Linked DNA regions of Caenorhabditis elegans. The protein of the gene in region 3 purifies or fractionates together with the protein of the main gene of each other region. This does not show direct contact. Each region holds a gene or a part of one and is shown on either strand. Other genes may lie near its edges. The genes, in order: ost-1, R05H5.3, cash-1 and clp-1.

Region 1 (5,872 bases), on a different chromosome or scaffold from region 3:
CTATAACTCGGTCAGTTTTAAAGATTTTTCTATGGTTTATGTGTTAAACGGTAGTTAAACTTGATCATCTCAGCGCCATCCTGGTTTTCACTCACTTTCACCGAAAGTTGCTCGCCGAGCACCACCCGGAACACGTGCATCCTCCAACAATGTCATGGATCCACGTGGATCAGCATGGATCTCATCATGGAGGCTCTCCAAATCACCGACCTATGATGCACTATAATGCACATGTAACAAAAGTTGATACGTATTGATTTTTTTTTGAGAAGCGCAATTTTTTTGGTTGTCTACATGTCGAGGGATATAAGTCGGCAACCACACATGTTAGCAAAAACATATCAACTATGAAAATGTTGCAAATTGTCAGAGCTACATTTTGTTTGTTTACAACTTTTTGGTAGCTTCTAGGGTTTCCGAGTTATATGGAAAAAATCTGGAAGTGGTTTTTTTTTGATATTTTGGAATTTTTTCTGAAATTCTTTTTTTTTCAATTTTTTCCTCTCACAAATTGCCGTAATTATCAATAAAATAAACATTTATTATTAAAATTGAAAATTATAGAAAAAAATTAAAAAGAATCAGTAGGATATCATTATGTTCAACTGAGATTTGGCACATTGGATTCAGCAAAGCAAAAAAAATTCAAAAATCGATATTTGAGGTTAAATAGGGGGTTCATGGCCTAGAAATCTGTAATTTACAGATATTTCTAGCATGTGAGCAAGTTGGCAGTTCGGCAAGCTGGATTAGAATTTTTTTTGGGAAAGTTTTTTTTTTTCGAATTTTTTAAACTTTTAATTAGATAATTATTTAGCATCTCTCTTGGATCTCTCCCTCCTTAAGTCCCAAGCATTTTCCCCATTCCTTAATTGAAATGTTTCCGTCATTGTTGGCGTCGCATCCCTCGAGGAATGGCTTGATGCAGGATTCCATTGGGATGACTGGAGCAGTGATTGGAATGAGCTCGTGGTGGGAGACGGACTGAAAATAGTGGGATTAGAGTGGGAAATTCAAAAAATTCAGAAAATTTTAGGTTTGGGTGGAAAATTAAAATTTAAAAATTTTCGAAAATGTTTTTTTTTAATTTTTTAAAATTTACAGTAGGGTTTTAAAAAAACTTTCAAAAAATGTTTTCTTTTTGGGAAATAAAACATTTTCTGATTTTTTTTAATTCTGAATATTTTTTTTTAACATTGTGTCTAAATTTATTAATTGATAAGTTTTGATTTTTTATAAATTAAAATTTTTTTGGCTTGAATTTTTTTATTTCTCAAAATTTCAATTTTAGCTTTTTTAAATATATCGTTTTTTTTTTAAACCAAGCTTCTTACTAACCTTATCATGTGGCTTGGTGTCAAGCTCGCAGAACTTCCAGATAACTGGGTACACGTGCTTCTTCTCGTCGTCGTTCTCGGCCTCGGAGAGGAGCTCTTCCCACTCGAGCTTGTGGAGCTCACGTCTCTTCTTAAGCTCCTTCATGACCTGAAACAAATTGAGATTAATAAAATTTAAGTAATTTATGGTGTTTCTTCAGTTGACAAAATTTCGCTAGCTTTGAAACAAGCGGAGTTGGATCGGTTTGAAAAAACGTTTTTTTTTTTTCATTTTTCGTTTTTTGTGGGTTTTTTGAGTTGCCGAATTTGCGGAGCGATAACTCGACAATCAGTTGGAACACACAAAATTTGTTTAAAAATATTTAAATTTCATAAAATTTGCTACAATTTCTCGAAAACAATTTTTTAAAAAGCAACCCTGGTTGCTGAGATATTCCAACTTGAAAAAAAAATCTACTAAATTTTTTGTTTTGAAATTTTTGAAATTTCAAATCCCCGCAACTCTGCTAGTTTTGAAGTTAACAAAATATTGTCAACTAACAAACTGCTTCAAACAACTTTTACGTTAATGTGCCATTTGTCAGTTTTTTAATGGCACCTATTAGCCTCTTTCAACCCCCACCTGGAAGAGCCAGTCAGCCATGCGTTCTGGGAATTGAGCCATGTGCTCTTCGGTGCACTCATCAAGCTTCTTGCATTCTCCGAGGTATTCCAAGTGGACTTTGGCGTTGAAAGCCTTGGAGCACTCCTTGGACTTTCTCTTGCACAAGCATCTCTCACGGTAGAGGTCACAGAGGGAGGTGAAGGTTTGGTTGTTGTTGGCGCACACCTGGAATGATAACTTTTGTTTGAAGAGGAGTAACATTGTTAGATTGCTAGATTTTAAAAAATTATTGATTAACAACTTGTAGAACATGTTTTAAGCTACATTTTAGTAGTTAGCAAATTTTTGATAGCTGTAACGGCTGAGGAGTTAGAACTTGTCAAAGTTCTAGTTTAAAAAAATTATAATTCCGCAACCAGCAGAGCTAAAAAAAAGTTATCAGTTAACAAAGTACTGTTAAAACTTCAAGCTTTAACATTTTGTTAGGTCCCACCTTATCCATCGGGTCTCCGTCGAGTTCTGGGCACTTTGAGATGCACTCACAAGTTGGTTCTCCCTTCTTTCCGACGACACATTCCTTTCCCCATCCGCACTGGTGGTCCTCGCATGGGTTCTTGGCTGGCTCTACTGCAAAATATAGTAATTTTCAGAAGAGTTTGAGAACTGTAAAATGATTTTCCAAGAGTTTGTAATATATTGCCAGTTGGCAAAAATTTGATAGTACTGAAACTGGCAGAGCTACAGGGGTCGGAAGTTGGCGAAATCGCCGAAGCGTATAGCTCGCCAACCAGTAAAGCTATTCAAAAATTGCCAACTAACAAAATATTGCTCACAAAATTTCCTAAAATTGTTGGTTGAAAACTCTTTGATAGCTCTAATGGTTGCGGAGGTATTTATATCAAAAGTTCGGCAGCCTAATTTAAAACCGGAATTTTTTGGCAATCATTAAAGTTAGTGAAAAATTGTCCGCTAACAAACGATTTCTCACAAAATTTCCTACAAATTGCCCACGCCTGATCTATTTTCAGCACTTTCATCTCTAGCTACCCCATCTAAGTTCCCCCATAAATATTAGTGCTCGTTTTCCTCTCTTGCTCACGGAGCCGCCGCCGCCGCAGCAGCCTTCATATTACAACACCACATGACGTGAAATGCACAAAGCTTCGAGCATCTTCGAAGGTTCTCCAACTTTACACTGCAGGAGCCCAGGAGATGGCTCCGTGAGCTGGCGGCTAGCTGGCCAGATGCAACAAGATTGATTGGGACATTGGCAGTTTATGAATCATCATCATTATCAGTCGGAAGGGGTTTCGAATGTGTTTTAAACTCTTTGGGTTTCTTGAGGATTGGGACTATGGATGATGGATGATAATTGATTAGGTTTTCGAAAATGCCGTAACTTTTTGAATTTTGTAGGAAGTTTTACAAAGTTTTAGTTACTTTGCTATAGGATATTTATTAATTTTATAACTCGTCAACTAAAGTTAGAAGCATGGTGCATCGAAGGATCGCTTTTGGTTTTATCAAGAATTTGTTTAAGAAACTAATTGTAGTTCTTTTAGTAACGCCTATGATTCTTGAGATTCACCGGTTTAAAATTGAAAAGGGACATGACTGTGCAAGTTATCAAAACGTTGTCAGCTAACAAGTTGTTGGAAAATATGTGAGCAGCACTAACGCTTGTGTCAGCTGCGATAGCTAAATTTTGACAAGCTGTAGCTTATGAAATTTGCATTAATTCGTTAGTTGGCAGATTTTGAATAGAACTGATAATTGCCGATATATACCGTATTCAAGTTTACTCACCACTCTTCTTCTCCTCATCAGCATCGATGTTGTCGAGGAGCTCTCCGAGCTCATCATCAGCGATCTTCTTTTTCTGAAAATTTCTCATTAATTCGCTGAAAAAATCCCCTCAAAGCCCATACCTTGGCGTCAACGAAAGACGAGGCTGCCAGAAGCAGGAGACAAGCGGCAAGAGCGTAACGCATCTTGGACGGCGAATGAAGAGGACCCGCTGGGGGCTCACCGAGCACACAGATCTGGGCGGAGCATGTGAGGAGACGGCTGGCACAATGTTGCACAATATCGGCCCGGTGGAAAAGAAAGACAGAGAAAATTGACACAAGATTGATTGGAATTATCGAAAGTGCAATTTATTGGGAGAAGGGACTATGGAGAAGTGACTAATATTAATTGGATTGTGCAATAAACTTTAAAATTAAATAATGTGCACTTTTTTATAGTTCATCTTCAACATTGTTCTTGGTTTTCTCCAAGATATAAACCACCAAAGTTGAGATCTAAGACATGGTGCATCGTTAGGAAAGTTCTCCATTTAAAGGCTCATATCTCGGTTTTTTCTTTTTTGTTTAAAAGTTATCAACTAACAAAATGTGTGACATATTCTTATATATGCATTTAATTTTATTGTTTCAATCATTTTCATACGATTAAAAATAATTGTAACCATGATATGATCCTCCAAAGTTGAAATTTAAGACATGGTGCATCGTAAGGGAAAATGTATACTTTAACAGCTGATATCTCGATTGTCTTCTGTTTTGTTCAAAAACTGTCAACTACAAAAATGTTTGACATATTCTCATATATAAATTTGTTGTTAGAATCATGTTTATACACTCAATTGTAATCAAGATATGATCCTTGAAAGGAGACCCATGTGCAGCGTAAGGAAAAATCTCTACTTTGACAGCTGATATCTCGATTGTCGTTAGTTTTATTCAAAAATTGTCAACTGAAAAACACTTATCATCTTTATTCTCTACCTTTCTACATAGTTATAGTATTTTTATATCACTAATTGTATCTGTGGTATAAGCTGACAGACATGTTGCATCAAAGCTTCATTTATTTTTTATTTACAAAATTTGGAATGAATATTTTTCATATTTTTACCTTCTACTTTTACTGTTTTCAAAATTTCCGAGCAGCTGGAAAATGGTCAGAAAAAACAAAAGTTATCAATGAATTGTAAACTATTTGTAGTGGAACTTATTTTGATGGCACAAAAACCGTTAAATTTGTAATTCGAAACATGGTGCAGCGAATCTCTGCTCCCATAAGTTTTGACTTAATATGCTCCTTATACTCCTGTTCGTTCCTAAATAAATTCCACAGGTCACTGCAAGTAGTTTTGTCCTGTAGCAACGCATTTTCCATTCCAGTTGACCGCTATCAAATTACATCCGTACTAACAACAGCTGTCGGTGTCCTGTTTACTTCAAAACGCTGTGCTTTTTCATATTTTTTACAGATCGTGGCAGCCGACAAAGTGTAAAAATATGTTGCACTTTTGATCGATATTGAGTTCTGCCTTCTGTTAGTGAGGAAATCTTCAATTGTTCATATCTCATTGAGAATATAAGTTATCGAAAAGTTGTCAACTAACAATCTATTCTACGTAACAATTCCTACATTTTGTTCGTTGACAACATTTTTGTAGCTCTTCTCTCCACTGAGTTATGAATTTTTTAAGATTTAAGATTGTGCGGCGAGAGAGTGTGGGGTGAGGGGAGACGCAGAGCGCGCGCGCAGCCTGCGTCTCTCTTCCCTCTGCGCTCTTTCCCGTTAGTTATTTCAGGAGCCGTTTTCTCGGCGGGGAGAAGAGGTAGAAAAAAGTTTTCAACTGACAAAATATAAGGAATTTCGAGGAGATTATGTGTTATGATAATAGTTTTTTGTAAAATTGAAATGGAAGAGTTTGCCGAACTAGGTCATTTTGGCTCGGCCATATCTTCATTTACGGCGCGTTGCGTGTCGCGTCGCGGCTCGATTCGGTTATTAGTTGTAAAACTAAATGTATTTGTCGACTTTCCCACACGTTGTCCGGCGGCCGATTGTCATTGGAGCGCGAAAAATTCAATAAGGAAGGTCAGAACCCCGTGTAACCGCTTCGAAATGGGTTCAC
Region 2 (3,030 bases), on a different chromosome or scaffold from region 3:
ACTTTGGAATGTGCCGAGCCCAATCCGTCTACAAAGTTGATCTTAAAAAGCCATGCAACATCCGATGGCTGGCTCCCGAGGTTTGGGACAACGGGGAAACGCGTTTCAACACTGACGTCTACGCGTTTGGAATCATGATGTGGGAGTTTTTCGAGACCCCATTCAAGTCGCCATATGTTGAGATGAAAGCTGCTCAAGTCAAGGTAAATACTGCCAAAAAGGATCTAGATGTGTATTGAATTTTTCAGCGCAAAACCCGAGCCGGATATCGCCTCCCTCCACCACCATCAATGCCGAGTAGAATGGTGGAAATCATGAGCGAGTGCTGGCAAGTAGATGCTGAAAAACGACCAACCGCTGAAGAGTTGAAGGAAAAGCTGGAAGAGTTCAAGAAGAAAACGGAAAACTCCATCACTACTTCGGCACCACCTACAAGTGTGGAAAAATCGAAATTGTCCGTGTCGTCAGAGCCAACCACGAAGTCTGTGGATCCGAATAAATCTAGACTGTAAATGTAAATAAATCTTTGGCTGCGAAAGTTTTTATGGGAAATGTACGAAATTAGCCGCAATATTTGAAATTATGGTGAGAAATTGTGACAATTGATAAATTAGAGTGAAAGGAAACTTGAAATTTTTTGGTGTTACGTTGGTGGAGAAAATTTAATCGTAGAAAGCGAGCCACTCTTCCCAGAGAGCTTCTGGATCATTTCCTTTGTCCTGAATCTCGGTGCGAGCGTCCTGAACAACGACATCTCCGTTTGGCTTGACAATGCGCATTGATGGGATCGTCTTCACTTCGTATTGTTCAAGAAGCTCTCTGAAAATAATTATTTGTATACATTTAAAATTCGATTTTAGCTGAAACTAACTGAATTCTTGGAGTTCCAAATGGAATTGCAGTCCAGGCGCCCATGTGCTCAAGGAAGTATTCACGGAGATCACCGTCTTCACGATCGCGAGACACGAAAACAACCTCGAATTCTGGATGCTTCTTGCGAATCTCGTCGAAGAATCGAGTGAGCTTTGGAGTGAATTGACGGCATGGTGGACACCAACTGGCCGAGAAGTAGAGTCCGACGACCTGGAAATATTAATTTTGCCATTTTTTCTTCAAAAAAAAAAGAAATGTTTTACCTTTCCCTTGAGGTGCTCGCCAGCATCGAGCTCTTCGCTGTCTTGGTTGATCAACTTGGTTCCAGCGAGCAATTCGGACATTTCTGAAAAATAAAAGCTAGAAGTATTCATAAATTGAAATGGTAAAATGGCACCGGCGGAAGAAATGCGAACAAAATGAAGGTTAACTATAAGCTATAAATTCTGCAATAAAATTCGAAGAGTTTTCGCATCAAACAACTTCAAAAGCTCACAATTTGCTAAATATAAGACTTTAAAAACCGGGGTATCTGTGGAGAAAGCTCTTGGAGTTAGCCAACGCAGCAAAAAATGAAAAAAAAAGCGAAGAAACTCGATAAAATGAGAGGAAATGAGAAGAAAATTTTCGAATTTCCGTTCTAGCGCTTCTTTTTCGCGGCGAATTCAATTTCTGGCGCCGCTCCACAGAGCGCGCTTGCAAAGAGAACTCATGAATTTGTTGATCTTACGGAACTATTGACTCTCAAATAAAGCAAGATTACATTCGAAATATTATTTTTTTTTAATAAAGAGTAAATTTTTTTCAATGAAAAAAGCACAATAATTGTTCTCGCTCGAACAAAGTTTAGAAAAAGAATCAACGCAATATTTATTGATTGTGCCATAGAAGTACAGTAACCCATAATACTGTTTTTTAAACGTTTTTCGTAGTTAAAAAAACTTTTTTTCATGTACTGCAATTTCGTTTCTATAATAAAACAATTTTTCAGATAAAAAAGTATAAAAGTTGACGAAAGTTGCGAAAAAACTGGGATGGGTTACTGTACTTCTTAAAGGCGCACACCTTTGTGCACAACATCGATTTAAACATAAATATTATTGTCGTGTAATATATTTTTTCAATTATAAATCAGTCACTTCCGTCCTGATGACTTAGTCTTCCAAACATTTAAAATAGCCTCTTGATGAATCTGAGCCCCGTCAATTCCAGAATACTTCAATGTAACTTCCGCATAAACTTTTGCAACTTTTTGTCTTTGCAAATGCCGTAGAATGACGCATGAAGCAATACCAATAATCAAATTATACGTGGGAATAGTCTGAAAAAAATGTAATTTAGTCATGATTTGTCGAACACCATATTCTCACGATGTAAACACCTCTGACCGACATCAAATCGGCTTGTGTTTTCAAAAATCCTGGTCCTAGAAGACGAATAATTAGGGTGAAAATGAGATAGAGCGAGAAGAAGAATACATGAATAAATGAGATAAAAGTGGAGAATTTCGTGGTTATAATGTTCTCTTCCATTTGATAACGAGTTGATAAAGAATTACGCCATCTGAAATTTTCAGTGTTTGCATTTAAAATAATTTAAATCTGATCTTACTTTTCTTTCAAAATAGTGTTGATCTTTACCAAAAAATAATTGAAAACTAAATTTACACTATTAATAGCAAGTAAGGAATAGCATAACCAATTCATCTGAAATTTATGGTTTTATGTTTTAATGCCGCCTAGGTGAAATTTCCAAATTCCCTGGGAAAACTCACTTTATAACCGGAAGTATCAGGAACCATAAAGTATGAGATGGACGGTTGATCGAATTTCTCATCGAGGAAGAAGAAATAGACAAGTGCCATGTCGCAAAGCATCTGAACTATTTATTTTAATTTTAATAATAAAAAATAATAACGCTACTCACTGCAAAAACACCGATAAACACTCCAATATGAAGCTTAACATTTTCGTAGCAACGAGCAAAGATCAGAGCCAGAAGGCGTTCAGCAGTTATTCCAAGAATTGTGAGCATTGGGCAAGAAATACCGAAAACGCCGATATTTTGAAAGATACGGTTTTTCACGGGATTCACTAACAAATCACACTTGGAGACTGCCAAGAAAGGGATGACGACGTGGTGGGCCTGAAAGAATTA
Region 3 (6,122 bases):
TAAATATTTCTAAAACGAAAACCAAAAGCGAAAAAGTCAAACATAAAATAACTTGGCGACATTTTTTTTCCAACTTCTCTTCAACATAATCCTTAATCAGTTTGATTCTTGAGAACAGAAAACAATTGAATAAAACAATGACACGAGATTTAGTTAGTTAGCATATTTTATTATTCACTTTTTTTCTTTGTCTTTAAAATTTTAGATTGATTTATATCTATTGGGTTCTTCAATTTGGAATCGAGCTTATAGATATACCTTAATCTTCCCATTCAGCGTTTGGTCTGACGTAGAAAATGTTCATTCAGGTCACATAGTTTCCAGCAAAAGTAGATATTGCCATTCCTCATCGACTATTGGATCAATAGATGGTTTTAAATGGTTTTTTTTTTCTGGTTACGGTACTCAATTTATAAAATTCAAGAAATCATTAATTTTCGTTTGATAATTGCCCAATTGCCCAACACTGAAATGGTAGAAGTGAAAAATTCTGTATTCGTGCAAAAAATCAAACTAGAATTCTCAGTAATTTATGATACAGTTCAAGACATAGTTGAAACACTGTCAGTCGACCGAGATAGAAACAAAGAATAACAGATAATAATGGTAAAGAGAGACGAGGATGAAGTAGAGGAAAATGATGAGAACTTACGGTCTGAATTTGGATTCTCGAGGATATCTGGTTATTGATTAAAACTAAGCGTTTTGAGAATGGAAACAATGCCGAGAGAACAAAACATGGCGCAGAAAGGGTATCTAAGAGAAATAGGAACACGAGTCGAAATTTGTGCAGTTTAAAGATGAGCTAATCAATCAATATCCTATAGATTGTTTTAACCCGATTTGTATCGGTGTTGTTTCACATTACTGCCATAGAAAATATAAAAAATTGTTCGCCCAAATAACCACTGCAACCACTTCAGAAGATGGTTAATTTGAGCTAACTGCGACGTAATATTTACAGGATTGCAGATTAGGTTGACAAGTGTCAAAATGCTCATTTTCGACCCGTGATCAAATTTCATATTTAAAAAGAAATCAATCGAGGGAAGGAGGGGACAGATAAATTACGTTTAGATTTGAATAAAAATGGTTGTTGGTTATCTACAATAAAATAAAGGGTACTGTTGTAGTAATAAAAATGAAGGTATGTAGGCGTGGATTTGGGCATGAACTGGGAGACGAACTGGCGAATTCCTATTATACTTTAAGTTAAATTGGCGAAATATGAAAATAGGGAAATAATAATAAAAAAATGAATGGGATACTCTAGTTGCTTCCTGACACGTACACCTTGGCAAGAGAATCGGCACCGGCAGATCCTATAAGAGATCTTGAAGGATGGAAAGCAACGGAGGTAACTGCTGAATCATTCTTTTTCCGGTGGGCAGAAATTTCCTGAAAAATACTACATTTGTACAGTTTCTTAATTTATAAAAAAATATACCTGAAGGCATGAACGTTTCTCCATATTCCACATCCTGATACTACCATCATGACTTCCAGACAAAAGATAAAGACCATTTGGATCAATAGCAAGAGAAGAAACTCCCTCAACATGTGCGATAGCTTCATGAATTATCGATCCGTTGGTGTTGTCAAAGTACCGAATCGTCCGATCTTCACCGCCAATAAGTGTGAGAGGCATTGTTGGATGACTAACAATTTTGTTCATTGTTGGTGAACCTGTAACCGCTCCGAAATCGAACACCATGACAGTGCTTCCAGTATCGATATCAATAATTTGAGCATAGCAATTTGTGTATGCAGCAAGTAAATGTGATGTTTCCGTAGATACAAAATCAACTGATGTCGGAAGTATTCCGGATTTTGGGGCACCAATAGTTCTGATAAGTGGTTCACCATTTCCTGGTTCCCATAGACGAACCGTTGAATCAGAACTGGCAGAAACAAGGCGACTGTTTGATGAATGATAAGCCACCGACCAAATTGCATCCGTATGTCCAGTAAGTGTTTCAGTTAGGACTCGTGGATCTATAATAAATAACATAACCTTAAATTTGAACTAATTATTAAATTAACTTTAGTCTTATTGTTTGGCGAAAATTTAAACTAAAAATAGCGTTGAATCGTTTGAATCTGTATCGCAAAAGGTAACTGATACTTTGATATTTGAACATGTTATCATAATTTGGCGAAATTTTGTTGTTAGCTTAAAGGCACGCATCGTTTTCCGAGTGGGTCTCATAACGATTTCAGTCATAGTGGTAGCTACGAATGATTCACTTTTATTAGAAAATTGATTTTGAGAGAAAACTAAACTTCTAAAATTGCACTGAGAAAGTCCAAATTCTTCATAAAATATTATGCATCTAGTGTCCCGTTTCTGCGAAAGGACGATACTAATTTCAATGCATAATCTTTTTTTTCCAAACGATTTTGCACAAAATGAAGCAAATTGTGATTAATTAGTTTTTGACAGCTCATTTTAATTAAGAAATAAATCTTACCATAAGAATCAAATGGATCCCCGTTTGAAGATGGTACATTGAAACAGCAGATGTTTCCATCGATACCTCCGGTGTAGAGATGATCTCCAGTTGGCGACAGGACTAAGCATAGAACAGGGCCTTTGTGTCCCCGGAATGTATAAACTGGCTCAAGCTCGGTACCACCACTGTTGTGTTTCTCATCTTTCTTTTGATCGAGATTCCATAATTTGATCAGACCGTCTTCCGAAGCAGTAAATAGTACGGGCTCAACTGGATGGAATTGCATCGCGCGAATCGAATCAAGGTGAGATCGTAGAGTAACTTTGATATTCCACTTCACTTGTTGTGCATTCGGATCATCATCCTGAATTTGACAATTATTTTTCTTTTATTTTTAAAACTGAAAAACTCACTTCATCTTTGAACTCGTCCTTAATGTCCATATTATCATTATCTTGCATTCCAAGAGCAACGTCCAACTCATTTCCGTTACCATATCCAAAATTAGCACTACGTCTACCTTGTCGCCGAACTGGAAGTTCTTCTTGTGCAGCGGCATCGATAGCTGATCGAATTCCTGGTGGAACATCAGTCTCTAGATTTTTCTGAACATCGTTGCTTGTTTTCTCTTCGGATTCTTCAGTTGACGTCCTTGAACGCCGCTTCACTTTTGGATCGTCCTTGTATTGTTTTATCAGTTTTTCGAATGAAGCTCCTTTTCCTGCCCAGTCATCGTCAGAACCTTTTTCTTTCGCATCCATATTGTTTAGAAAATCAAACTCTTCAAACGCCTTTGAGGCGTCAGCATCCAAGGCTGCATCATCATGTCCGTCATCGGAATCACTGTAATTACTTAGAACGATTGCTATGTGTTCAAAAAGAAAGTAGTGAATAAGTACCTGTCACTTTTCTCTTTTCTACCATTGAGACGTTCACTGGATGGAAGATCAGCCTGGAAGTTCAAAACAGATTGGTTTTTTTTTCAAACTATTGAATTTTCATACTTGGGGTAATAATCCGAGAAGATTTTTTACACGGAAGGATCGAACATCCATGATGTGCTCGCTGTATCCAATTTCTTCCAGATAACGTTTGAGAAGAAGGCGTCCCTGCCTGAAACTACCTCCAGCTTCACCAGCATCATTTATGTATGCATCAAGGTCGGCCGTCAAATGGCTGTTTTCTGAAATATATATTTTCGATCGGAACGTCTTCATAGAAATTACCGCTTGGCGCTGAATTTTCATTTGGAGATTCTTCCAGTGATGGTGGTTCTTCGCCGTTGTGGGTTAGTCGATAATTTTTGGCACGTTCTTGTTTCAGGCAGAATTCGAGCATTTTGATACGACGGACAAGATCTTGTTTCAAATTTTCTTGACCTTTTCTTTCTCCTTGTAGGAAAGCAATACGAGCCTACAAAAATTTCACATTACAATCGTAGAAAAAATATTTACTCACCTGCATTTCGGCTCTCTCTGCTTCCCACCTAGTTCGATCTAACTCATTTTTTGTCCATTCGTGTTGTATAAAGTGCAAAATACCCGACATTGTATACTGAGGACGAGTCTGTAAAGTTTTCGATTTTTACAGAAGCTGAATTCCAACTCAACTTACCGTTTCGTCCTTTGCTTTGTCATTTTGTGAGTTTGACAATTGACTGGCGTCCTCCATTGTAAACTACTCGAATCCGATCTTATTTCGAGTAATTTACGTTAATGAAGCAAGTGCAAAAGCTGGAAAGAACAGTTGAAAAAAATTACGAAACGTGTATAAGAAGATTTTCAAAAAGTTTAATTGCAATAGAGGACGAGAAGTTTGTGGCAAAATTGAAACTGCTTATTAGGGCTGTAATCAATATAGATGAGCTGATAAAATAAAAGTAGCATCAAGTCGTACGAGACTGATGAAAAACTGATTCGATTAGGTGGACGCAGCCCCGAGGCACGAGGAAGAAAAGGGAAGAGCGAGTAAAACGAGTGCCGTTGTCTGCGTCGCGTGTTCGGCGCGCGTCTTCATATTAACAATGGGGCGCATATTCGTTGCAATTATTGGCGCCTTTTCAAATTTGAAAGGTAGACTTTCTATAAGTACCGTATGCCACTAACAATTAAAAAATACAAATGTGAAATCTATTTTCCATTTGAATTTCAAAATGCTAATATATTAAGTGGCTTAGCAGACTGTATCCGTTAACCAAAAATATGAGAAACTTGAACTTTGCCAACATAAAACCACCAGCTGAAAATCAAATGCATTTACTTGGGTTTTGGATCTTGGAGAAACTTTTATTATATTATTTAATCACCTGCTGATGTAGTTAGAAAAAAGGAATGAGATTTTATTGTCTCAAATTTTATCTAAATTTCACGCGTATTACGTTTCAAGCATATTCAGGTACTTATTTGCATCACATAATATCTTTTTTCATCGAAAAGATTGTTTCAAAAACAAAATTGAAAAACAAAAACGGAATGATTTATTTGAAAATTAAAATTGATTACTTATATCCGATATATTCAATTTATTTTTCAAAAACAGTAAGATAACGTTCAGTTGGTGACCAATTTTTACTGAATAAAATAATGAGATCAAGAGAAACTTTCAAAAAAACTTCAATCTCAAAACCCGCTATGCAAGATTGTCTTAAAAACTCCCAGAAAGTTGCATTTGAAAATTTCTAAGTATTTTTTGAAAAAACCGGGACCGTCATAGTTTTGGCCAATACAATAATAAAATGTACAGCACGCTACTTTAACACCACGTATTATCCAATTGACATTTGGTGCTTAACCATAATGTGAGAAGATGATCTTCTTTTGTTAATGGATGATGATTTTCATAGTCGAACTGAATTCGTTTCATCTGCTTCCTGTTCGAATTTTCCACAAAAGTCTGCTCCAGTATTTTCCTTGTTTCTGTATTCATACAGTGTCCGCATAGCTGGCATTCTGGAGCCTCATCACATGATTCACATTTATTTTCAACACAAAATTTCAGCGGAAGATTGATGTCTCGGGAGTTAACAAGAGGATTTTGTTCGGATGTACGTGATCTAGAACGGGAAATCTAATTTGTGGACAGCTTCAAATGGAATAAACGAACTTGAACAAGATGTCAGCTTCTTTTGTAATTGGTGTTGAAATTCCAGTTAGAGAGAAAATGTTCATTAGAACTTGTTCATAAAGTATTTGATTTTGTTTAAAATGACCTGAAGAGAGATTAGGAGACATATTCGCCTGCAAAGATGTCTTGTAAATTTTAATGATTCTGAAAAATAAATGCATACCTCCATAAGAAAAACGTTCAATTGATCATCGACCACAAAATCAAATCTGCTTAATTCAAAGTATTGTGGATTTAATTTCAAGTTTTGAAGACTCATTAGCATTTTTGTTTGCTGTGTTCGGAAGACCTGAAAAAAGATAATGAAGTTCAGAAAAAGTGTGCAAAATTTTTTGATCGTCTCCTTTGAATATCTAGAAAATATGCATCACAGAGATTAGTTGAGAGTTCTAAATATTACCTCTCCAATAATATTTCTTATCTGCAACCAAATCTTGCTTGTATCCATTCCTTGCATTCCCAAATAAGAATCAATTGTACTCTTGAAGCTCATTTTTTGAGTGTTGAAGTATTTTTTCAATGAATTTATCTGAATATCTTGGGTAT
Region 4 (7,537 bases), on a different chromosome or scaffold from region 3:
TTGCAACTACATTCCCGTATACAAAAGTTCTTTCGACCAAGAACAAAAAAATTTCAGTTGCTTTTCTCCTTTGACAAAAATTAACAAATAAAATGAATATTTTAGGAGCCAAATAAAAAAAATTAAACAAAAAAGAACAGTCCTCATTTGGATTTAGATTTCTGTAATTGTAAGTCGTAAATCCGCAACATCTAGATAATCGTCAAATGGGGCTCAGACAGCTCAAACCCTGGCTTTTTGAATGATTGGCAACCAACGTTGGTGAAATTTTCTCATTTTTAAATCGCTCACCACTTCTTTATTCTAAAGAGTTCTCTGGTCACTCACCTATAAATCCAAAAAAAAGTGCTTCGATACACAAAATTTTATTCTCTTTTCAAAGAAAAAGGGACCTTTTCCTCTATGCTATCGATCACCTGCGAATAGAACCTAACGGAAAACAAAAACAAAAAGAGCAACTGAGCCCCGGAGCCTCACCAAAACCAATTATCAACGGCGCGGAACATCTTTTCCCCTCTATTTCTGCCATCACATTCCGTTTCGAGAAAAAAAAGAGCAACTTTTTCCTGCTCTGAGCCATAGGGTGCTCCTTTATTTCCGGTTGGTCCCTCTAGCTCTCCATTTCTCAAAACGAGCTGCTTGTTGCTCCCTTTTTGAGCTCATTCTGTGCTCGTTTCTCGAGGAGAATTGCCCGGTGCAATGAATGTATTCAATTGTTGTCTTGTTGGTGAGTCAAATTTGTATGAAAAAAAATTCAAGAAATGTATTGTATTGTTGTCTACGTGTGATCCAGAGTATCTTCAGAAGGTGTGGTTTTTTTTCTGAACTCTAAATTAAAAAAAAAACACATTTTCGGCCTGCTCCTGACACTGAGTTGACATGTCCTTCGCTTAGACTCATGGGAATGTAGAATTGGTTTCAAAAGCAAAACACGCAAACTCTGGTCCCCCGCAGCTTTTACATCGATTTCCAAATGTTTTTTGTTCGTTTTCTCGGTTTCAAAAGACAATTTTATCCGTATCAAAAGGTCATACAGGGAAATTTCGGAACAAAATTGAAAGAAAAATCCTTGAATAATTGAAAATCATGTTCAAAAATTACGATTTGCTTAGTTTTATCTGATTTTCTGAGCATATTCTATATTTCGAAACCCATTGAATGTGGCAATTGTTTTTTTGGTGTGTTGTGCCTCACTCCAATACCAATTTCCGTGACGATTAAATTGAAAACAAGACCGAAAAACCAAAAGAGAAACAAAAAAATAAAATCTAGTTTTTTTTTCTCCCCCTGTCACATTGAATTTATATTTTTATCCGTTTCCAATTAGGTTCATCCGTTTTGTTTGCCATCGATAGCTAATTGATGACAATCAAATAAATTAATAGATAAAGTTTCTATTTCCATTAACTCAAATTTCCTTTATTCTGTCAACTAAATTTATGTTGTTTCGTGCTCAGAAAATATGAGAAAAAAAACAGAAAAATGCATGCACAAAAAAGTTGACGCTAATCTTTGTCTCCCCAACTCCGAAGGCTCAAAGAGCACGCAAAGGGCTTATCGATTTTAAGAATTACACATTCCTTAAAAAAAGCTCTAACTCTAAAAATTATTTTATGTTTCCATTCTCAATTGCTGTATCCCCAAGAAGAGGTAAAAATTTGTTTTTTTTTTCTCTATGTTGTGAGCCTGATTGCTCTGCTTCTTCTGACTTTTTCGTTGAACAAAAATCAAATTTTATTTCAAATTCATAGATATTCTGTTTTGCAGACCCCGAAAATCGTGCGGCAGGCTCAAACGAGGAGGAAAACTATCAAAAAAAGACAACAACCGACGGTTTCACAGCAAAAGCCGACGGAATCAAAATGGCTGACGATGAGGAAGAAATTATTCAAAAAGTCGAAGTGAAGCCGGATGAATTCAATGGATTAATTGGATCAATTGCTGGTAACCTGATTAGAGATAAGGTTAGTTTAATTTTTGGTTAGAATATTTTTTTTTTAAATTTGCTACATAGACATGTTGAAATTTAATTGCAACCTAAAACTAATTATCTCACAGGTCGGTGGCGCCGGTGGTGATATCCTTGGAGGCCTTGCCAGTAACTTCTTCGGAGGTGGAGGCGGCGGAGGAGGCGGCGGCGGAGGCGGAGGTTTCGGTGGTGGAAATGGAGGATTCGGTGGAGGTATTTTTATTTTCAAAATTGTCAGACAAAAATTCCCTAAAAATTCAAGTTCCTTTTTTTGTGTTAGAAAACATTTAGATTCACTCAAAACATCACCGTGTGGCTTAGATCAGTGAATTTTTTCTCACACCTTATATGTTGTCCATGTTATCGTAATCCCATTTGCTGCTACAGTAATCCATAGGTTCGAACTACGATCAAGGCGGGAATGGGAACAGCGGAGATCAACAAAAAAGGAAACGAGACATGGCGAAAGACTTGATTGGAGGAATATTCGATAATGTGGTGAATAGGAAAGGAAAGAAGGAGCAGGATAACTATGGTAGCGTTTGTGTTTTTTTTATTTGCTGTTTTGTGCTTTCTATAGATTTGATTATATAATTAGCTTAATCATTTTCTCAAATTTTCTGAACATGGTCTGTAATTTATTATCCTCGGTTTTTTTTCTAGTTTTTCATTCTTGGACGTCTGGGAATGTGAAGCTTCTTTGTCTTTTGTTCCGTAATTGTTCACCAATCTTCAAGCTTTTTTCTTGAAAATAGCGCAATTCCACGCTCATAGCACAAATTCATCAACTTATGTTAAAAATCAGGTGGAGGTCGACAACAGCCGCCACCAAATAACAATTTTGGTGGTGGAGGTGGATCTGGCGGTGGCGGAGGGTTCGGAGACATTCTTGGGGGACTTTTGAGCGGCGGAGGTGGCGGCGGTGGACAAAGAGGCGGCGGAGGGCAAAATTACGGTCTGAGAGTTTGAAAATACAATAAGTTAAGCTTCTACGCACTCACCAACACTCACTTAAATACTAACAACACCACTCATTTCCAAAATTTGATTTGAAAAATATGGCTATTTTGAAAGAAGCTTTAGACTTTTAAATTCTCCTGTTAATTCGCTTTTGACTGATGATTCGTGATTTTCCTTTAAAAATGCAATATTTTGCATGTTTGCTGTGATATTTCGTGTGAAATTTAGGCGGAGGCGGCAGTGGCGGTGGCGGTGGTGGAAACAACATCGGAAGCTTGGTCGGATCACTTATTGGTGGTGGTGGTATGCATTAGGATTGTAGTGTGCATGTAGTATCATAAATGTTGTGTTAATATTTTAATAGTTAATAGAGCTGATGATCAGAACATTTATAGATCTTATTGACACTTATTTATCACATCTAATTGTATTTCATTTCTGAACTATCTACACAAATGTGGCACCCATGAAATTCAAGCTAGAGTAATATTTTAGGCGGAGGTGGTAACTACGGCGGTGGTGGTGGAAATCAAGGAGGCGGCGGAGGCGGTGGCTTTAACTTCAATGATATCGGTGGACTCATCAACAGTATGGGAGGTGGTGGTGGTGGTGGCCAGAGACAAGGTATAGAACATTTATTAATATACTTTGAATAATTTGAAAAATTTTAGGCGGTGGTGGAGGAGGCTTCGGAGATATCCTCGGAGGAATCGGATCTCTCATTGGCGGAGGAGGCGGTGGCCAGTACAATGGTGGAGGTGGAAATGTGAACCCGAATAATCTCAACGGTGGAATGGTGAATGTTATCGGAAATCTCATTGGAGAAGCTGCTCACAGATTCCTCGGCGTTGATCCGGGTACAGGCAGAATCATTGGAGCTGTCGCTGGAAATGTGATTATGGGACTTGGTGGAAAAGATAATTCTCTTGGAAATATCGGAAAAGTTATTCTGGACAATATTATTTCTGGAAAGTTCCGTAGGGATGTTGATCCATTCGTTCGTCCAGGACCAGATCCAGATAGAGGAGGTGGTGGAAGTGGTCCAAGCCCTATTTCACCAAGACCAACTACCGAACCACAAGACTTCTATGAGCTCAGAGATCAATGTCTTGAGGTGAGTGTTCAAAACATATCATTTTTAAAATAATAAATTCAGAGCAAACGACTATTCGAGGATCCACAATTCTTGGCCAATGATAGTTCGTTATTCTTCTCGAAACGTCCACCAAAACGTGTAGAATGGCTTCGTCCTGGAGAAATCACAAGAGAGCCACAACTGATTACAGAGGGTCACTCGAGATTTGATGTTATTCAGGTTAGCTCTTGGATTATTTTCAGAATTTTTAATATTTGAAATGTACTATTAAAATTATATATTCTTTCAGGGAGAACTCGGAGATTGTTGGCTCTTGGCTGCTGCAGCCAATTTAACTCTCAAGGATGAGCTCTTCTATCGTGTGGTTCCACCAGATCAATCTTTCACTGAAAACTACGCTGGAATCTTCCATTTCCAATTCTGGCAGTACGGAAAATGGGTGGATGTTGTTATTGACGACAGATTACCAACGAGTAACGGCGAGCTTCTCTATATGCATTCTGCTAGTAATAATGAGTTCTGGAGTGCACTTTTAGAGAAGGCATATGCAAAGTAAGTTCGGACTTTTGACCGACATTTATGAAGGAATAAACTAGTTAATTAATTTTCAAGATTGTTCGGATCATACGAGGCTCTCAAGGGAGGTACCACATCTGAAGCACTTGAGGACATGACTGGAGGACTCACCGAGTTTATCGACCTCAAAAACCCACCAAGAAACTTGATGCAAATGATGATGAGAGGGTAGGGATTAAAGTCTAATTTACATTATTATCCAAAAACGAGTTGTGCCAAACTACAGTACCCGGTCTCGACGCGACAATTTTTGTTAATTATGAATGTCTGTGCGCCTTTAATGAGTACTGTAGTTTCAAACTTTCGTTGATGCCGAATTTTCATTGATTTTGCATAGTTTTTTGTTAGAAACAGAAATAAAACAATTAAGAACACACAAACTATGAAAAATCGATAAAAAATTCCACAAAAATAAAATCTTGAAAGTAAAGTACTCTTTAAAAGTGATCCCCTATTTATATTCGACAAAAAGTTGTCGTGTCGAGACCGATTACCGTATTTTTTGCGCAAATTTTAGCGTCCATGTATTAACAAAATTTCAGATTCGAGATGGGATCCCTATTCGGTTGCTCCATCGAAGCCGATCCAAATGTTTGGGAAGCAAAAATGTCGAATGGTTTAGTGAAAGGACACGCCTATTCAATTACCGGATGCCGAATTGTTGACGGACCAAATGGACAAACTTGCATTCTTCGAATCCGTAATCCATGGGGAAATGAACAGGAATGGAATGGACCATGGTCAGACAATTCACGCGAATGGCGAAGTGTTCCAGATTCTGTAAAACAAGATATGGGACTGAAATTCGATCATGATGGAGAGTTTTGGATGTCATTTGATGATTTTATGAGGAATTTCGAGAAAATGGAAATTTGCAATCTTGGACCAGATGTTATGGATGAAGTCTATCAAATGACTGGTGTCAAGGCCGCTGGAATGGTTTGGGCTGCAAATACTCATGATGGTGCATGGGTTAGAAATCAAACAGCTGGAGGATGCAGGAATTACATCAGTAAGTAAATATTCATCTACAAATATTTTCAATTTTCAATTCAGACACTTTCGCCAACAATCCACAATTCCGAGTTCAACTTACCGATTCGGATCCTGATGATGATGATGAACTCTGCACTGTAATATTCGCCGTTTTGCAAAAATACAGGTAGCGCCACCAGATAGGGAAATCATTTTTATTTTTCCAATTTTTAAGACGTAATCTGAAACAAGATGGACTTGACAACGTGCCAATTGGATTTGCTGTCTATGACGTGAGACTATTGTTATTTTGAAGAAAAAACAGGATTTGGCCTGAAATTTACGACAATTCTAGAAAACCTCAACTTTAAATAGAATAGTTGGAACATTTGAAAACTTAACTTTCCCCTAAAACTACTAAAAAATTTTTAAACCTTTTAAATACGCTAAAAATTTACAGATGAACAATGTAAGTTGGCTAATTGAAAATCTTGTGAAACCGGTAAAATTGTCCAAATCACGTCGTTTCTAGTTCAAAATAACCCACATTCAGTGAACCTCACCCACTTTGTTTAGTGTGTATTGTTTTATTGTTGAAGTACACGTGCTGATTTTTTGACATTATCTAACCAATATTTATGTTTTGTTGTTTACTATTGGATGTGTGAAACGTATCAAATAACAGAAAAATGCAGTCATTTGAAAGAAAATTGTATTTTCTGTCTCTGTGTTCGTCCGAACCAAAGATTTTTTCAAGCTTTATAAAATTACATACTATTCAGGCCGGAAATAACCGTGGTCGACTGAGTAAACAGTTCTTCGCTGCCAACAAATCCGCGATGAGATCGGCCGCTTTCATCAATTTAAGAGAGGTAATTTTCTATCTTCAAAATTAAATTTTAAAAACCAAATTTTCAGATGACTGGCCGCTTCCGTGTACCCCCGGGCAACTATGTTGTCGTTCCATCAACATTTGAACCAAACGAGGAAGCCGAGTTCATGCTCCGTGTCTACACGAATGGATTTATCGAGTCGGAGTGAGTAGTGAATATCAAGATTTTGTACTTTGTTTTGATTTAACAGAATATATAAGCTGAGCTTCTGCAGGTACTAATAATTCATTGATTCAATATTTTCCAGGGAACTGTAAGCCATTCTACTCACAACTACAACAACAAATAGCAAGATTGGATCTTCCTATACCTATTGTTTTGATCCACTTCGTTATGTATAAATCTCTCTGTCACTCGTTCTATTTTCATCATTAACCCCCCTACCCTCTCTCTCTTTCCTCAATCGTCCCTCTTTTCTCCACTCTTTCTGCCTAATTTCCCGTCGATGTTTGCCGGATCTGCTCTGTAGAATTGTAATATTTTGATATGCTTGTTGTTTCACTGTATTCTTTTTTTTTGCCTTTTCCAGAGTAAATAAATTTTCTAGTTCTGATGAAAGATATCCAAAATTTCCGTCTTTTCAAAAATCAAGCCTGTCAAAAGATTAAGCATACGAAGTATTTTTAAATGAACAAAATTATCTTATATTCTTCAACACTTAAAAAATATTCACAGATTTCATTAGTATTGACTCTGTCGCTACGAATAATACCACATACACTAAACCATTTCTGATCTAGCTTTAAAAATTTCTCTTTTTTTAAAAATCAATTAGGAAAGATAAAAATATATTTACCTCGAGTAGTGGGAGAAACTGTAAAAAATCACGTTTTACGGTGAAGTAATAATACTTTTTTTTAGCAGCTTCGAACAAAAGTCTTTTTTCCAGCCCAATTTTGCATAAAATTTGTTTTTATTAAAATGAGAAAAAATTCATTTCTTTAATCGATTTCCAAAGCTTCGACATTACCGTAATCTTTAAAGGCGCACATTCTATTCTGCAGTAATCGTATCCTTCGTGTCGAGACCGGTCGGTACCGTATACTTTGGACTCACTAACTTTTTTTA

Evidence for each region.
Region 1: the proteins of cash-1 (region 3) and ost-1 fractionate together in Caenorhabditis elegans (co-fractionation; one large-scale study listed by BioGRID). This does not show direct contact.
Region 2: the proteins of cash-1 (region 3) and R05H5.3 fractionate together in Caenorhabditis elegans (co-fractionation; one large-scale study listed by BioGRID). This does not show direct contact.
Region 4: the proteins of cash-1 (region 3) and clp-1 fractionate together in Caenorhabditis elegans (co-fractionation; one large-scale study listed by BioGRID). This does not show direct contact.

The regions. Positions count from the first base shown.
Region 1 is NC_003282.8:1,105,509-1,111,380, reverse strand, and holds ost-1 (SPARC), read right to left. Parts: upstream 3,986-5,872; 5' UTR 3,933-3,985; coding exon 3,870-3,932; intron 3,821-3,869; coding exon 3,748-3,820; intron 2,569-3,747; coding exon 2,435-2,568; intron 2,167-2,434; coding exon 1,960-2,166; intron 1,486-1,959; coding exon 1,339-1,485; intron 985-1,338; coding exon 814-984; 3' UTR 509-813; downstream 1-508. UniProt on the Caenorhabditis elegans protein: Has a high affinity for collagen. Affects nematode body morphology and mobility. Essential for C.elegans development and muscle function.
Region 2 is NC_003280.10:10,195,814-10,198,843, reverse strand, and holds R05H5.3 (protein-disulfide reductase), read right to left. Parts: upstream 1,220-3,030; 5' UTR 1,218-1,219; coding exon 1,137-1,217; intron 1,084-1,136; coding exon 872-1,083; intron 820-871; coding exon 663-819; 3' UTR 526-662; downstream 1-525. Other genes in the region: R05H5.4 (Tyrosine-protein kinase), read left to right, coding at 1-203, 249-512; srb-6 (Serpentine receptor class beta-6), read right to left, coding at 2,009-2,194, 2,244-2,436, 2,485-2,579, 2,648-2,749, 2,800-3,018.
Region 3 is NC_003283.11:10,360,327-10,366,448, reverse strand, and holds cash-1 (Striatin N-terminal domain-containing protein), read right to left. Parts: upstream 4,189-6,122; 5' UTR 4,125-4,188; coding exon 4,068-4,124; intron 4,020-4,067; coding exon 3,912-4,019; intron 3,867-3,911; coding exon 3,680-3,866; intron 3,637-3,679; coding exon 3,458-3,636; intron 3,406-3,457; coding exon 3,353-3,405; intron 3,306-3,352; coding exon 2,867-3,305; intron 2,818-2,866; coding exon 2,472-2,817; intron 1,996-2,471; coding exon 1,448-1,995; intron 1,399-1,447; coding exon 1,270-1,398; 3' UTR 515-1,269; downstream 1-514. Other genes in the region: putative tubulin polyglutamylase ttll-15, read right to left, coding at 5,205-5,505, 5,556-5,689, 5,740-5,865, 5,977-6,105.
Region 4 is NC_003281.10:7,979,307-7,986,843, forward strand, and holds clp-1 (Calpain clp-1), read left to right. Parts: upstream 1-1,767; 5' UTR 1,768-1,862; coding exon 1,863-1,964; intron 1,965-2,058; coding exon 2,059-2,182; coding exon of another isoform or gene 2,183-2,298; exon of another isoform or gene 2,299-2,366; coding exon 2,367-2,504; intron 2,505-3,157; coding exon of another isoform or gene 3,158-3,232; intron 3,233-3,424; coding exon 3,425-3,553; intron 3,554-3,600; coding exon 3,601-4,043; intron 4,044-4,085; coding exon 4,086-4,244; intron 4,245-4,314; coding exon 4,315-4,577; intron 4,578-4,637; coding exon 4,638-4,769; intron 4,770-5,143; coding exon 5,144-5,613; intron 5,614-5,657; coding exon 5,658-5,763; intron 5,764-5,811; coding exon 5,812-5,869; intron 5,870-6,036; coding exon of another isoform or gene 6,037-6,045; intron 6,046-6,358; coding exon 6,359-6,448; intron 6,449-6,494; coding exon 6,495-6,613; intron 6,614-6,716; coding exon 6,717-6,726; 3' UTR 6,727-7,022; downstream 7,023-7,537. UniProt on the Caenorhabditis elegans protein: Calcium-regulated non-lysosomal thiol-protease which catalyzes limited proteolysis of substrates. Required for assembly and maintenance of integrin attachment complexes which are essential for maintenance of adult muscle.